Sus scrofa: one gene and its partner. Each later gene encodes a partner of the first gene's protein in a complex. Links are inferred from orthologs where the notes say so. Each region holds a gene or a part of one and is shown on either strand. Other genes may lie near its edges.

Region 1 (3,821 bases):
GCTGTGCTCTTGTCCCTGTGCGGCCTTGTCTGGGGGGCCGTCGTCCTCAGCACTTGCATCCTTGCCTTGTTTCGCTGGTGGCCGCTGCCCTTCCAGCCGGCCTCTGCATCCTTCCGTGGTCACGCCACAGTTACCTGCCCGTCAGGTGTCTCGGCATCTTTGCCGTCGATACAGATTCCACATACGATGCTTCTTGCTTGTGCTTCTGTCCTCCTGACCTTGCCTTTCCACAGTCCTGGCTTCCCTGCATCCTTCTGCTTCTCTTGGCTGAGTCACCAGGTGACTGATGTCCCAGGCAGTCCCCCTACGCCGGGCGCCCTGGCTGGGCGCTCCTGGGGACAGTGGCGCCCAGGTCTTGTGTTTTACCTCCCCGCCCGCTCCCTGAAGCTGTCTCCTAGAGGCTTCGTGTCTTCACTTTAGTGCTGGTATACCAGTTAAAGTTTCCTGGGTTGAAGCGTAAGAAATACAGATATAAAAGTACGTGTGGTTGAGAAGAAGAATAATTAGTTGTGTTGAAACATTTTTTGAATTTTTAACTCTTGGTATGTTCGCTTTTCAGGCAAACCTGAGTAAGTCTCTTAGGGACACGGCGGTCAGACTTGCGGAGTTGGGGTGGTTACACAATAAGATCAGAAAGTACACGGACCAGAGGAGTCTGGACCGGTCCTTTGGACTCGTAGGTCAGGTATGTGGTTTGTTGCTGGGGCACCCGGGGCGCCTTCGCTGGGGGAAATGCTTGTTCTGCTCAGTGTTAGGGTGAAGGTAGCTCTGAAGGGGGAATCTTTCCATGGAGAGAAGTTTGGATGATAGACTTGCGTCAGTCGCGGTCCACCCGAGAGAACAGAAAGCACAGTATGCACCGACAGGCGGAGTCAAATATAGCCGCTCAAGGACTGCTTAATGAGCTCTCAGGGACAGTGACCATGGATGAGTCACCTGACATGTTTTTTGTTTGTTTGTTTGTTTTTTGCCTTTTTGCTATTTCTTGGGCTGCTCCCGCGGCATATGGAGGTTCCCAGGCTAGGGGTGGAATCGGAGCTGTAGTCGCTGGCCTACACCAGAGCCACAGCCACGTGGGATCCGAGCTGCGTCTGCAACCTACACCACAGCTCATGACAACGCCGGATCCTTAACCCACTGAGCAAGGGCGGGGACCGAACCTGCAACCTCATGGGTCCTAGTCGGATTTGTTAACCACTGCGCCACGACGGGAACTCCACTTGACATGTTTTTATGTATTTTCCCTTTGACCTGATTCTTTTAAATATTTTTTTAAACACGGATGTAGAGTCGATTTATAATAGTGTGTTTCTTGTGTATAGTGACATATGCAAGAGTGTGTTTTGTTTACACACATGTGTGTATGTGTCTATATTCTTTTTCTCCTTTCCATTATAGCTTCTTGCAAGCGTTCCCTGAGCTGTACAGTAAATCCCTGTTTATCTGTTTTATACATGGCAGCGTGCACCTGTTAACCCCAACCCCTCGTTTCTCCCTCCCCGCATTTCCTCTTTGGTGACCGTGTTTGTTTTCTGTCACAAGTCTGCTTCTGTTTTGTAAAGAAGTTCATTTGTACTTTTTCAGAGTCCACATGTAGGTGATATTCTGAGATACGTGTCTTTCTCTGACCTCCCTTAATGCAATAACCTCTAAGTCCATCCGTGTTGCTGCAGAAGACCTTATTCCATTCCTTTCTGCGGCCGAGTAGTGTCCAGAGCGTCCGTGTGTTTATGCACATCTGGAGCCGATCCTCTGTCTGTGGGCATGTAGGTTGCTTCCGTGTCTCTCCCTTCCAAATTTTTAGTGTGAAAGTGTCATTTTCTTTAATGCTCTTCGCTAGCAGTATTTTATTTCAGTTTTATTTTTAATGATTTTTATTTTTCCCGTGATAGCTGGTTTACATGTTCTGTCAATTTTCTGCTATAAGCAAAGTGACCCAGTCACACATACACATATACATTCTTTTTCTCACCTTATCTTCCATCCTGCTCCGTTGTAAGGGACTCGTTATAGTTCCCAGTTCTATACAGCAGGTTTTTTATTTTAAATTGTTTTATTTTTTTATGTTTTTGTCTTCTTAGGGCCACACCTGTGGCATATGGAAGTTCCCAGGCTGGGGGTCGATTCGGAGCTACAGCTGATGGCCTCTGCCTCAGCTCACAGCAATGCCAGATCCTTAACCCACGGAGGGAGGCCAGGGATCAAACCTGTGTCCTCATGATTACTAGTCAGATGTGTTTCTGATGAGCCACGATGGGAACTCCCTCTAGCAATATTTTAAAACCGATAACTATCAATTCCTTCTATTATTGTTATTATTGTTGTTGTTATTGTTCAGTGTGTACCGTCCAGAGTTTATTGAAAACTGCCTTGTACGTTTCCATTCTTAAATTCCGAGGTCTCACATCAAGAGCTGTAGGAAGGAGCTTCACACTCTGGTGACCGGAATTTTCTGGAGTGAACTCCGGGTGTAAGCCGGGACAGAGACATTCAGGGGGAAGCTTTGGTTTCCACGAAAGCCCGTGACAGGCAGAACCTGCAGAGGATAAAACCTGTTCCCTGCAGACAGAAAACAAATTTACGGTTGCCACACGAGGGGGGAGTTAGATTAGGATTTGGGGATTAATAGAGTCACATGACTGTACATAAAACAGGTAAACAACAAGGACCTCCTGTGCAGCACAGGGAACTGGGGCCCAGCATCTCCTAATAACCTATCACGCCAAAGAATCCAAAAGAATAAGCCGCAGTGCATGCGTGTATGTGCAGAAGCAAATCGCTGTGCTGCCCGCGGGGAACTGACCCGCCCAGTGCTGCGGGTCGCCTCGACTTGATTTACAAGGATGCGGCCCCGCAGCCCTCGCTGAAGGCAACGCGCCTTCGCTGTGTGGAACCCGATTCCTCCTCGCCCCGCCCTCCCTCCGGACGGCGGCGTGGTGGTGGCCCCGCCCGAAGACCGAGGCCAGAAGCGGAGTCCAATCCCGAGGGACCCGCGACCTCGGGCTCGTGGCGCGCCCCGCGCGGCTCCCGTGCGTTGCTGCGAGCGTGCAGGGTGCGGGACTCGGGTCCGGCCTTCACGCGCCTCCTCCCCCCTCCCCCGCAGAGCTTCTGCGCGGCGCTGCACCAGGAGCTCAGGGAGTACTACCGCCTGCTCTCCGTCCTGCACTCCCAGGTGAGCACCCGCCGGCGTGGAGCTGCCCAGCGCCCCCCGCGCTGCGCGAGCGGATGCTTCCGCCCTCGCTTTTAGGGAGCAGGACCCGGCGATACGTGCAAGGACGGGCCGCGAGGGTCCCGGGTGGCCTGGCGCCAGCAGGTCACCTGCGGCCTGAGCTGTCATCTCGGAGGGCATGTCTGTTGCGTTTTTATGGGAATAATCCCTTCCCCGGGTCTGCACGGAGTGAGGGGGTAACGTATGTGGTGACCTGCGCTTACTCGTTCTCTCTCCTGATTTTCAGCTGCAGTTAGAGGACGACCAGGGGGTGAATTTGGGCCTCGAGAGCAGCCTGACGCTGCGGCGCCTCCTGGTTTGGACGTATGACCCCAAGATGAGGCTGAAGACCTTAGCAGCCCTGGTGGACCACTGCCAAGGTCCTTCTGCCTTACTTCACAGCGGGTTTTAGGGGGTAGCCCGCTCTTTTGTATGCTTAACAGCCAGAAGTGTGCCGATTAAATGCAAATGAGTAGACGTGACCTTGCGGGGAAAATGCCTGTTGCCGGCAGGGCCCAGCGTTCACGCCTGTGGAGGCTCAGGATCTCCTGAGCTGAGGGAGGAGGGCGGGGGGTAGTTTTGGGCCTCGTTAGGGCTGTTGGTTTGTGTTCCT
Region 2 (3,821 bases), on another chromosome or scaffold:
GTACCTGCATGCCATGGCCAAAAGGAAAACAAATTTATCCATTTCCTAGTCTAATCCAGTAATAACATAAAAAGTACACATTTAATACTTTTAAAAACCTTGAATAGAACGATTTATGTATTGCCAAACCATTGCCACAAATTGGTAGCTATGAAATCTGAAGAATTCCAAATTTCTCCTTTCTTGCCCATACAAGATCCAAATTACCAAACAGATCCACCTGCAAAAGGGGTTGTCAATGAAGGGACATAAAGTGGGACTCTTTGAGTTCAATCTTCTTCTATTTGGCTTTTCGTAGAGATAACAGTAATGAACAGCACTCAACAACGGTAACATATTTATGATCATGATCATCTTTGTCTATAGCCACTTGCTGATTATTGCTTAGTCCAAAACATGAATAATCCCACTTCAGTTTTCTAACTAAAAAAATAACTTCAGAGTTCCCAATGTGGTGCAGCAGAAACGAATCCGACTAATAACCATGAGGTTGCCGGTTTGATCACTGGCTTCGCTCAGCGGGTTAAGGATCTGGCCTTGCTGTGAGCTGTGGCATAGGTCGCAGAGGCGACTCGGATCCCATGTTGCTGAGGCTGTGGTGTAGGCCGGCAGCTGTAGCTCTGATTGGACCCCTAGCCTGGAAACCTCCATATGCCATGGGTGTGGCCCTAAAAAAAAAAAAAGAAAAAGAAAAATAATAATTTCTATTAAAAATAAAGGTACAAAAGTATCTTCTTATATTGGAATTACAATATCAAAATAAAAAGGATGTATTTTTAAAAGTAACTACAAAAAAGGCAATCCTTTTCCTCTCCCTAGCCCACCTTCATCCTGTTACCCGCTTTTAAGTGAAGAAAGGTTCATTTACCATTTCAACAGATCCATCCCCTGGGTAAAATAAAAGCTCATAACGTCGAAATAGTGAAGCATTTGGATCATACCACTCTGCAATGAAAACGAATCTTTCACTGTGATTCTGCAAAGAGAAGAATTTTAACATGAACATATAAAATATAAGGACTCAAAGTCATACAAATTTAAAGAATCAGTAAATATTTGCAACAAATCTGTTACTACTTATTATATTGAATAATTCTTGTCATACTGAATAGAATTTCAACAATATTACCAGCTATCAAAACACTCAGAAATATTCCTTCTAATTTCTTTTTAAATATCCTTAGATATCTCAAAGATGACATATGAGCTGCTTAATACTTCATGGCCATCCAACCATCCTGAGTAAAATGACAGTTTTTTAGAACATCAACTCCTGATCTGACTACTGTGATAGTTCAGTCCTTCTGAAAGCAAGTTTACACATAGGCAGATGATCAATAAACTAGCATGGGAAAAAAAAATTTCTGAGAGGCTACCCCTAAATTACATGAAGTGTTAACTGACCTAACTTTAAGAATCCAGTCGTATTAGAATATTGTTGTCATTCAATTATAGTAAGTATCTTTTCTCTCCTTAGTAATTTCACATGATAGTATCTTTTACAGAAATAGAGGGAGAATGTGCTAGTCTAGATCCTCCAAGAAGCAGACAAGATGCCAAGATGGGATTAAACATGCAAGAATTTTATTCCTGTAAAAGAAATTCTGTATGGAAAGTTGCTGCAAGGGAAAATAGGGAGGGATCCAGGGGAAGCTGGCAGACCACCATACGAATCTGACCTTGAGGGAAGGAGAGAGAGAAGGAAGGCTGGGTGAAATCCTCCTGGATTGCTAGACAGTCCAAGGAAGGTTCAGTAAGACCATCGGGGAGTGCTCAAGCCAAGAGCCCTCAGATAGTTCCTTGACTCCACAGAGGAGAAGCCTGCTTTAGTAACTCTGCTCCTCTCAGTCACCGAGTGAGCCCTGGGGGAGCATGTGCTAGGTAGAAAAGCAGCAGTAGATTTCAGAGCACAGTAGCTGAGGACCTTTGGTCATTTTGCTACCTCTAGCTGAAGATATGTGAGGTACATACAATGAAAACATAAGTCAAAGATTGGCCCTCTTCCCTCGTCTAGTGAAGGATTTCCCATCCTATGTTATTAATAATATCTTAGCCCTCAAAGATCCCTCATCAAGATAAGCAAATGAAGACACAGGAAGAAAATCTAAGTGTTTTGTTGCTAATTCTGGATTTAGAATTCGATTCTCTGGTTAGGGTATATGAATGGATTCCTTTCATGTTAATAATACACTTACAAATTCTAATAGTAGTATATCTAGTTATATTTATGATATATACTCATCAGCTACAATGTAGGTAGTTTTTAAGACACTCTTTTATTTTTTTCTCATAATCATCCAAAAAGAAACATTTTTTCACTTTTTTTTATATATAATGTTTTTTGGGTTTTTTTAATTATAACTGGTTTGGGAATTTCCAAAATGACACATTTAAACAATGCTTATTAGTCAAGAGAAAATAAAAATGAGATATACTATGACAAGCCTTTCTTCATTTACTATTTTCATTGATCCTTATAAATACAGTTTTTTTATTTTTATTCTTTCAATACAGGTTTTCAAAATGTAGGTTTCACTGTGCATTTTAGTATTGTACTCCCCTTTTAATAAATTTAAATATTAGTAGTTCATTAAAATTTTACTATCTATATTAAAATTTTTTTAATGTTTCTCACATTATTCTCCATCATGTCCCATCACAAGTGACTAGATATAGTTCCCTGTGCAGGAACCCATCACTTATCCATTCTAAATATAATAGTTTGCATCTACTAACCCCAAACTCCCAGTCCATCCCACTCCCTCCCCCTTCCCCTTGGCAATCACAAGTCTGTATTCTATGTCCATGAGTTTGTTTCTCTTCTATGGAAAGATTCATTTGTGCCATATATTAGATTCCAGATATAAGTGATATGTGGTATTTGTCTTTCTGACTTACTTAGTATGAGAGTCTCTAGTTCTATCCATGTTGCTGCAGATGGCACTATTTTGCTCTTTTTTATGGAATTTGCTCAAAAATATCATTGAAATATTGCCTTCACTAAAATAAATAATATATGAGATGGATGAAATGGTGAGACATCTAAGCGAAGGTAAAAGGAGCTCCCATGGTGGCACAGTGGAAACAAATCCGACCAGGAACCATGAGGTTGCAGGTTCGATCCTTGGCCTTGCTCAGTGGGTTAAGGATCTGGCATTGCTGTGGCTCTGGTGTAGGCCAGTGACAACAGCTCCAATTAAATCCCTAGCCTGGGAACTTCCATATGCCGCGGGTGAGGTCTTAAAAAAGACAAAAGACAAAAATAATAATAATAAAAGGGCAAAGAGAGTGAAGCAAATGAAAAACCAATGAAATCTGGCACTTCCAGTTTTCCAGGCAGCTTAACCATAAAATCTGCCAATCACCCTTTAATTCTGAGGCAGACAGAAGAATTTCTCATGATTGGTTATCCAGAAAATAATATAAAGATGATAAACTGAGGAATTACTATTCTAGTTGACAATGTAGCTTATAGCAAATCAATGCTACTATCCAAGAACAACTAGAGAAGTGAGATATTTTTAAAAATCTGTTTGATGACCTTGGAGAGCATTTGAAGCAGCCAGATTTGATGATCTAGATTAAGAAAGACTAGATCTCACTGAGGTTAGCATGGCATTCGTCACGTTGCTTTTACATGAGACTCAAGCTGAATGAGAGACTGAGAAGCTCAAGAAGCTGGTAGAGGAAGGCTTCCAAAAGGCAGAGAAGCCAACAGAGCTTTTGACAAAGTCATAAGGATAAGTAGACAAAAGCTATAATTTGGTCCCACCAAAGAAGCCAGCACTTTAGGGGCAAAGATCCCAGAGAAAAGGAAACAA

The links.
Region 2: TUBGCP3 (region 1) and NME7 share a complex: the UniProt entries of both Homo sapiens proteins name them as parts of the gamma-tubulin ring complex. The link is inferred for Sus scrofa from reciprocal best matches to the Homo sapiens genes TUBGCP3 and NME7.

Annotation. Positions count from the first base shown.
Region 1 is NC_010453.5:78,215,161-78,218,981, reverse strand, and holds part of TUBGCP3 (gamma-tubulin complex component 3), read left to right. Parts: intron 1-559; coding exon 560-685; intron 686-3,103; coding exon 3,104-3,172; intron 3,173-3,455; coding exon 3,456-3,588; intron 3,589-3,821. UniProt on the Homo sapiens protein: Component of the gamma-tubulin ring complex (gTuRC) which mediates microtubule nucleation.
Region 2 is NC_010446.5:81,691,775-81,695,595, reverse strand, and holds part of NME7 (nucleoside diphosphate kinase 7), read right to left. Parts: intron 977-3,821; coding exon 869-976; intron 1-868. UniProt on the Homo sapiens protein: Possesses an intrinsic kinase activity. Displays 3'-5' exonuclease activity with a preference for single-stranded DNA. Does not seem to have nucleoside diphosphate kinase activity.